Drosophila melanogaster: one gene and its partner. The protein of the gene in region 2 interacts with the protein of the main gene of each other region in a pairwise test. Each region holds a gene or a part of one and is shown on either strand. Other genes may lie near its edges. The genes, in order: CG6688 and cona.

The links.
Region 1: the proteins of cona (region 2) and CG6688 interact in a two-hybrid assay, tested with the Drosophila melanogaster proteins (one large-scale study listed by BioGRID).

Annotation. Positions count from the first base shown.
Region 1 is NT_033777.3:23,010,785-23,016,182, reverse strand, and holds CG6688 (uncharacterized protein), read right to left. Parts: upstream 3,772-5,398; 5' UTR 3,670-3,771; coding exon 3,511-3,669; intron 3,442-3,510; coding exon 3,373-3,441; intron 2,268-3,372; coding exon 2,145-2,267; intron 2,033-2,144; coding exon 1,109-2,032; 3' UTR 708-1,108; downstream 1-707.
Region 2 is NT_033777.3:18,383,707-18,387,387, reverse strand, and holds cona (corona), read right to left. Parts: upstream 1,561-3,681; 5' UTR 1,467-1,560; coding exon 1,362-1,466; intron 1,302-1,361; coding exon 1,002-1,301; intron 930-1,001; coding exon 754-929; intron 683-753; coding exon 640-682; 3' UTR 501-639; downstream 1-500. Other genes in the region: Vha100-4 (vacuolar H[+] ATPase 100kD subunit 4), read left to right, coding at 1-119, 176-441; CG14309 (uncharacterized protein), read left to right, coding at 2,387-2,691, 2,756-3,079, 3,168-3,681.

The DNA of each region.
Region 1 (5,398 bases), 4.6 Mb from region 2:
TCCGGTCATTCCTACTAATCCGCACCCACAATACTGCACCGCCATCAGAAGTGGCAGCATCAGCAGGAGCAGCAGCAAATCAATTTCTGCATTGCACTAGCTGGACTGGACGCGGATCTGGACTACCGTCTATGGTCTCCGGCTTGGACTTGGTCGGCGCCCTGGCTTTTGTTCGGCACATCAACAAAGCAGAAAATAAAATTCAATTAACGCGCTTAAATTAAACTGCCACTTCCTGTTTTGATGACATTTTCATGGCAGCCTCGCTCCGGCGAAGAAGCAGCGGGAGGCCATTCTGCAGCGATAGGAAGAATGCGGTTTGGAGTAACTGAAGCCTGTTGCTGGCGTTGCTCGCTCCTCCATTGATGCGGTTCGTCCGGCATCAATATTAAATGGTAAACGGCCGGCATAATGGCTGTCCAACTGCGGCTGTCATTATGGGGCCATCAGGAACCACCAGGACCAAGAAACCAGGGACTGGACAGGTTCCATGCCTGCTCCCGATGACAAATAAAGCTCATTACGCGCTTGTCCGGCATCCTTCACTTTGCCACTGATTGACCTGCATCTGCGCGTGGCGTCGCCGTCAGCAGTCATAAGTTGCACTGCACTGCGAGAAATGTTTGTACTTTGTGCCCTTGAGTATGCAGTGGGAAAAGGATTTTAGAATGAACAAGTACTCAAATAATGTTGCATATTCTATTGATCATTTGCACAAAGTCCAATTGACTTAAAATATTTTTATTCCTCTTGCGACGCTCCCTGAATGCAGTCCATCCGGACTTCATTATCGAGCTGACCAACTCGGACGCCAAATGACACAAAGTCATTGGAGCGTTCAGGAGTGATTCAATTAGAACTCAACTTGGCCAAGTTGAACTCTTCGCTGCAGTTAGCTGGACCAACTTCTTTGCATCTCCAGCGTGGGCCTTTGTCCCGGCCTGACACCCATACAATTCCTTTGGCCGGGTTCGTTTCTTTGCGCGATAAGCAACTTTGGCCAAGCAACTGGCATTTAATTTAATTAGAAAGGAAAACAGCAAGAGGGGCGGGGGGCGAATTGGGGACGCGCCTGATAAGAGGATGCTGTTGATTGAGATGCCCGAGCTCAAAGCAGACGGAAAGCGGATTTGTAGCAGCAGTTCTGGTGGAGGTCCTTTGCAGGATCCTGTGGATCCTGCAGCTTGCAGGGACAGCGGTACAACAGCGAGGCCGGCTTAGTTTGGACAACCTGCTGGGGCAAATCTTGGCTTGGAGTGACAGGAGGTATGCGAACGGGTTGCAATCCGGAAGATTCATTGATGCCCGGGCTAACGGAGGCTGGTAGCGGAGGGCCATGCAAGGATGTGGCAGAGATGTGGCTGCTGTTCGTTCCGGATTCCTCGTCAACGCCCTCGGCATTCGGCTTAACTCCTTCCTGCTGTAAATCATTCGTCGAGAGTGAAGGATGCGCCGCATTCGCGTCAAGCGTGGCATGCATTGTTGTCCTTTCGGGGGGCGTGGCTGTCACTGGCGATGTTCTGGCCGGGATTTCACTGGAGTCGCCAGCGACGTCCGTGGTATTAGTCCGCAGCAGAGTAGCGGCATTCGAGGGACTGAGGTTATCCGTCGAGTAGGCGCAGCCCTCAAGCAACTTGGTTAGGAACTTGTTCGTTGGCAGCACTGGCCTGCGCTTTCGCCAGGTGTCCTGTCCGGTTATCCTGTCCTGTCGGCCCACGACTGGCCGTGTTATCCCGGCAAAGAGCTTCTGCCGCAGCTTGTTCTCCGAGCGGCACATCTCGAAGGCGTTGGCAATGGTCAGGAAAATTTGCTCCGCCAACAGCGCTCGGCGGGGAGTGTAGAAGTCCCGGCAGACAGGACATCGCTCCGAGCGGATGCGACAGTCCACGCAGAGCAGGTGTCCGTTTTGGCACTGCATCGCCGGCGGTGAGATGGTCACCCCGCAGACAGGACACTCGACGAGGCGCAGGATGCTCTCCAGGACGAGGGACAGGCGGCGCAAACTGGTGGGCATGGGGGCGCAGCAGATGCTCTATGGATTTTTGAAAAAAATATTGTGTTAGCGCGATTTTAATGGGGAACGGATAACTGAGTGTGTTTGATGGTTTAAAGAAGGATTTCAGGACTGCAATGAAAATACTCACATTAGTATCACAGTCCTTATCACATTCACTGTTCCAACAGAGAATTGTGACGCAGTCCTTTTGACTCTTCACCATTTTGGCGATTTCAGACACTCTCAAGCCTAAAACATCGTTGCCATTTACCTGGAAATAAAATATTATAGAATTTTATAGAAAATGTCTGGAAATGTTGTTTATTTATTTTAGGAAATAAGTGCCATACAGAAAGCAAGTACCAAGTATCTAAATATTTGGATTTCCACGAGCTACCAAAGAAAACAAATGAATACCACAAAATATGGCCAACACAATTACAAATTCGAAAGCACTGCTTGCGGCTGTATCGCACGCACTGCTTGCGGATGTTAACCTTAGCTAGCACTGTTAACTCAATTGGCTGTTATCTGTTATCTGATAACTGATATTTGCTTTGAATATTTACTTCGTGCTAATTAATCTTTGTCATCAACTAGTTGTTTTACTACGTTCGAGTTGTGTCATTAGTTTTAGGGCGGGCTGTGCATTCACCAGCTGTTTCTAGTTCCCCACTCCACATCCAATAAAGTTTCTAAATAAAGTCGATGCCGAGCAATTAAGTTTTACTGCATTGCTATTTTAAGTAAACAATATCCACGAAGAACAACAAATGCGGCTACAATAGCGGCTGCAAAGTCCAGACTTGGATATATGTACGGTCCAACTTCCATAGCTCAAGCTATTCGTAATTTAAAAGACCATAGCGATTTGAATTTGTTTCTAGAAGTGCAAATCATCATATTGGAATGCTTTCCTGAATAGTACTTTTTATCTTAACTTACGATTCACACAAATTTGTAGAACTTATTGACTTGAAAACTCGCAAGTATACATAATTAGCTTTACAACAAAAACTACATTATTTTTCTAGCTGTTAGCTAACAAAAGGAACTTTTTTCTGATTATAAATATATTATAATTTTAATGGGTTCCTCAAACTCTGTTTTCTTCTATCCTAAGTGGAATGCACATAGTTGGGAACCTGAGTAGCAGTCTCAATAAGCTCTTAATAGGTTTACAAAGTAAATCCCCGCGTCGATCTATTGCATTCTTAATTTTGTAACTGGAGTTCAGGCGCAGATTGAGTTACCAATGCAGTTTAGTTACCAATGCAGTTGGTCTGCGCTGTGCATAATCCGCCAGTCCATTGCTGGCTGAGAGCTGAAAGAACTGACAACGGTGGCACCAACCTGTGGCACTAACTTCTACTCACCTCCAGAACGCAATCGCCGGGTTTCAGGCCGCAGAGAGCGGCAGGTGTGCCGGCTGCCACTTCGCAAACCTGTCGGTGTAATGGGTATATGGTAATTAGGAGGGGACGGGATCTCCAAACGATGGCCACTTTTATTACCCAGGGATAGGGATCCCATTTGCTGCGGGTCAGCTGAAATCCGTAGTTCTCCATCGCAGGTGCGGCTCTGGGAATTCTCAGTAGTCGCACGGAGGAGCCATCGCCATGCTGCCCATCTTCATTGGATGTGGAATGAAATCCTCCCGCTGATTTCCTCATTTTCGGGCTAGAAAACTCGCACAGGTGCTCGGATCGTTGTGGGCCAAAATAAAAAGCGGCTAGCGAGAGACGTGTTCAACGTGCGCTCTCAGTTGGCAAACTGTTTTTCGTCTGTCTGTTGATTTTTTTTCGAGCCAGCTGGCTGGCTGGTGTATGTGGCTGGCTGGCTGGCTGGCTGGCTGAAAAGTTGCCGAGCGGCGAGCAGTGAACATGGAGCGCTTTGGGCCGACGCAATCGGCTACGACAAACATTTTGGCCAAGCTCCCCAGCATCACACATTTAACCCCTTCCACAACTTAATGACTTTGGGCCATCTGACGCGGTGTTGTAAGTGCTCGGCGCCAAAATGTGGCTGCGGTTCAAGATCCGAGATTCGGAATTCGAGATCGGAGATCTGAGATCTGAGTTCCGAGATCCAAAGCTGACACCCAGCTGAGATCATGGAAATGAGACTTGTGGAGCTAAGTAAATATTTGAACTTTCGGGCTGGCAGCGGTTTTTGGGTGCGCTATAAAGTTGCATGTCTACGTATTGTGACACCTTCAAATATACCGAATAAATAAACAAATTCTTCAGCGATTAAGTCATTTGATAACCTGGTAAATTAGTTGGTTCGAATGTGCAGGCTGCTACAATTGTGCGGAAGTGAAATCGAGAACATGGCCAAATACAATAGTTTTCATAGAAACCTTCGGCTATTTCTCTTCGCTTTTCATGGAAACCTTCTGCTATTTCTCTTAAATTGAAAACAATAAAGCTGCGCTTATCACTTATACCATGTTTTGTTACTAGAGATTAAAACTATTAAGGTAAATATAGCAAAACAGCCCAAACAAATATAAATAGCCAAAATAAACTGAACAAGACCTGCAAATTAAGTGTTAAATTGTATATTTATACAGTTTGGTTACGGTTTTGGCACAAATCGTAATCAGATAAAATCGCTATTAGCAGTAATGCACACGAAACTTAATCAGTTTAATTCCCATTTGTTGACTTTAAAAGTTTTCCGACTTTGTAATTAAATTTGAAAATAAACAGCACTATTTTTCGGCTTAATTGCGTGTTGGCAGTGTCAAATGGCCAGTGCATTTGCGATTGAGTGGCCAGCAAGTAAACCAAAATATTATTATTCGAAATGCCAAAAGAAATTAAAACAACAACGACGAGTGTGTTGGCACCGCACTAGGGTGTCAAACGGCGATAAACATAAACAATGGGGCCCTAAATAAATAATTGGGTCTAAAACCGGCTCGTCGATTAACCCTAACAATGATAACTGATGGAAATTGGCAGCTGACAAATGGATTTGGTTTGGCATGGCCAAACCATCGACATCCATTTGACTTTCGCTTTTTTGTTGTTTTGTTATCGCCGGTTTAACTGCCATTGAGGCGGTAATTTGAGTTTGGCGCTGCTCTGGTCGTCTAAAACATTGGCCAAATAGCATTGAAATTGGTAATTTCATTTAAATTTGCGCCCAGCAAAACTGACCCTGGGCGGCATTGTGGTGCGTGGTGTGTGTGTGTGTAATTTGTTTTTGGCTTTTCAATTTGCCAGTTCAATTAGATTTGGCCAAATTTATGTGGCACGCAGAAGCGTTCGGCAGCCAAAAGCCGTCAGCAGTGTCAAAATTAGAGAATACTTACCCAGGCAATAACATCGAAATTCATGTTTCTCGGAAAGCCATCCACCTGAAAGGTAATTGACTTTTATTAATCGGCCAGCA
Region 2 (3,681 bases):
CGAGCCGATGAGCGAAATCTGGATCCACCAGGCCATCCACACAATCGAGTATATCCTTAGTACCATCTCACACACGGCCTCATATCTTCGTCTCTGGGCCTTGTCCTTAGCTCATGCCCGTAAGAATCTGCTAAGTCAGTAATTGAATTTGTACTTCATGCAGATCTTATTTCAGAGCTATCGGAGGTGCTGTGGACTATGGTGCTGGCGATGGGACTTCAGATGAACGGCTACGTGGGCGCCATTGGGCTGTTTTTCATCTTTGCCGTTTGGGAGTTTTTCACCATCGCTATCATGGTCATGATGGAGGGTCTTTCCGCCTTCCTGCACACATTGCGCTTGCACTGGGTGGAGTTCATGAGCAAGTTCTATGTGGGAAACGGATATCCGTTCACGCCATTCAGCTTTAAGGATATTTTGATCGTCGTCGAAGATGATTAGAACCATCAGGATAGCCATCGTGATTCGCTCCTTGAAGAAGGTTTAATTAAAAAAGCATTACAGAATAAAAAGTACTTTATTTGTCAAATTATTTGGAAAACGCAGCAATATTAAGGATTATTTTTTGGAAGATGAGGTACGACCGTATTTTCCAATGCACCTTTGGCGATTGTTCAAGTGTTATTTGTTTTCCTGTACTTAAATTGCAGAAATTTTGGATTTTAAGTCTTCGATTATCCCACTGTGGAAAAAACAAACATTTGGGATACATGTTCTTGTACGGTTTTTTTATAACTCCTAATAGTTACTCACATGAGGTCATGTTCGATCTGGCCTAGAACACGGATATCATTAGCCATTGACTTTTGGGTGGTGTTAACAAATTCTCGCTTCTTTTTGAGCTCCTCGGTCTTTAAAGCCGTCTTAGCGCGAATTTCTTGCGTTTCTTTCTTGGTGTTAAGTATGGTCTTCTTTAGATCGTGGTAGTTCTGAAATAGAAAATATTTGGATAGAATTTTACAAACCTGCAAGATTACTGGTTTCTTGAGGAGATTACATACCATCACGGTGAACTCATCGAAGCATTTCGTCTGCTCCTGCATCTCGGCCTTGACCTTGAGCGCCTTCTTGCAATGGTCATCGTAGGCCTGGGAGACGTTTCTCTTGGCGGTGACCGCCTGATTGAGGCTCTCCAGGATCTTGGCGTTCTTCGTATGCAGAAAGTGGATGTCGTCCACAAGATTCTGGGAATTGGTGACATGGGTTAAGTCGTTCAAAGTGGTGTACTTCTCGGCAATCAGGACATCCAACTCCTTCTTCTTTTCATCGACCAGCGCGGTACGGTGATCATTTTCGGAGCCCTACAATAATATCAAAATGTATATAAATTTTAACTAAAAATGTTTCCTTTCTTAACTTACCAATTGGGCCACTGATTTCTCAATGTATGCTGTCACTTGGTCATCTTCCTCAGGTGGGACCTCAGTTTTGGAGTCTTCCTTGTTCCAATCTTGGTTACTACCCATTGCTCATGTAGTTTTGGATAACAATTTGTTTAACTGTAATAATAATTGTCGCAACGTTCTATTCAAGTTTTGGCGAAATTTCTGTTTTGACGTACAAAATGGCGGTCAACTTAGTGTTGGAAAACAGCAGATAGGTCGATGACGATAGCAACTTTCTACACACTTATTGGTGATAGATCTGTTGATGAGCGCGCTATTTAAATTTACACCAATTGGAAATATTTACGTTCTAGTCAAAGAACACAAATACTTCATAACTTTAATAGTTTCCATATCTGAAATTGGCATACATTATATTCACATTCATGTTCATATATTTATGTATATCACAGAAACTGTGGACGATCGACTCTGACTCTGGACTTGTGACTCTGATCAAAAATATAAATATATATAATAAAAATATATTCTTCTACATGTTTCACACTTTTCAGCGAATCTAATATACCCTCCTTTTACTTTGTGAGTATAACTGAAAGCTTTGACGTGATTTGTTTTGCAAAATGGTTCGTAACATTAAACTTTGTGTGAGAAACCTTCTTAATTTAAAAAAATGAGACGGTTTCTCTTCTCTTTTCTTCTAACAAACCGTGACCGCCAGCGAGGATGCCGAAGAACTGGCCTCCGCAGATTTACCCCAACCTTATTGGGTCATCTCATAGTTCATTGATAAGCACGGCATTCCAACCACGGCCCACTTGTATGTGGGTTTGGGTTACGTTAGTGGTGCATTGGAAGAAGGTCATCATATTGAGGGCAGCGATCAGCGCAAAATTCTTGCGGATGGCAGCGAAATCAGATGGAAATGATCGAGTGGGGAGTTTATTTAGAGGTAGTCATTATGAAACTCCGGTCAGTTGTGGAGCCATCGAGCAACAGACAGGTCTCCGGTCTTTCCATTCGTAATTCTGGATTAAAACATGTGGCATTTGTGTTTGGCTCTTTTGGGACTGGCGGTAGTGTGCTTTGCGGATACACTGGTTCAGCTCCATGTGAATCGTCCTTACAACGATGTGAACGAAAAGTTTGTCAGTTTTGCCGTTCGTCCGGAGGATCTGTACGATGCCCTGGATGGCAAGAACCGCAAGGCGGTGACCAATTTGGCGAATCTGCTGGGAGATGCGCACATCAAGTTCGTGGGAGATTTTTACTTCGCCAGCAATGCGCCAACTAGGCTGCGAAACCCCACCAAAATCATTTGGAAGGGGTTCAATCGGTGGTCGCGGTAAGTTGGTGGTGATGGCTTTCCTCCCATTTTCTGATCATCTATCTGACCTTATTTTTCGAAGGGCCGTAAACTGGACCATGATCATCCCGGTGCCTTATGCGCCCGATGATTGGGACTCCATGCATACGCTGAAGATCCTGAACACCTCCTATATGGTTGGCATCACCGACTGCATCTGGCAGCTGGGCACAGACTTTGGCACCTCCAGAGCCAAGGACTACGTCCAGGAACTTCGAACTCTCAAACTGATGACGGATACTTTCAAACCGTATGTGGACGACTGGCGACTAATGGGAGCGGACATTTCAGCTGGAAGCAGTGCTGATGAGACCAAGAGATACGTAGATATGTCCAAGGATCTGAATACGGCATTTGGATGGACGCAGTAAGTAGTGAGATTGGAAGTGAATGTATTTATGAACATTATAGAAGTAGCATCTTACCTTTTAATAATTATTTTGTTCCAACTGTAGACCCGCAAACATGCTGCCCAAATCAAGCCTGGGAAGCTACTTGTACGACAGCGATCCTGCCCTGCGAACCCTTCAGCAACAGCGCGTTCCCTTGTGGCTGACCTTGCCGGAGGAGCGATCCTCGCAGAGATTGGTGGGCGACGAGACCACGGATGCCTTGCGGTGGGCCCAAACTATGGGAGATGCCGCCGCTAGTGGATTCGATGTTATATTTAAGCGAATGAACTTGGTGGACTTCGAGCGACCAAACTTCAGTCTGTATGTAACTGCTTTGTTCAAGAAGGTCATGGGATCAAGGGTGTTCCCAGCCCGACCTCTGAACGCCTTTGCTCCGAGCAACAAGTTGTATACCCATTGTGCAAATGCCGTATCCGGAGGATTGGCATTCATGGTGGTAAATACGGAGGAGCAGCCAACAACGATTACTGTGAAGAGTACCAGTAGTTTGAGCAGTAGCGAGATTTGGCAGTATGTACTGACTGGCCATGATCAAAGGGTCCAGCTGAATAATGTC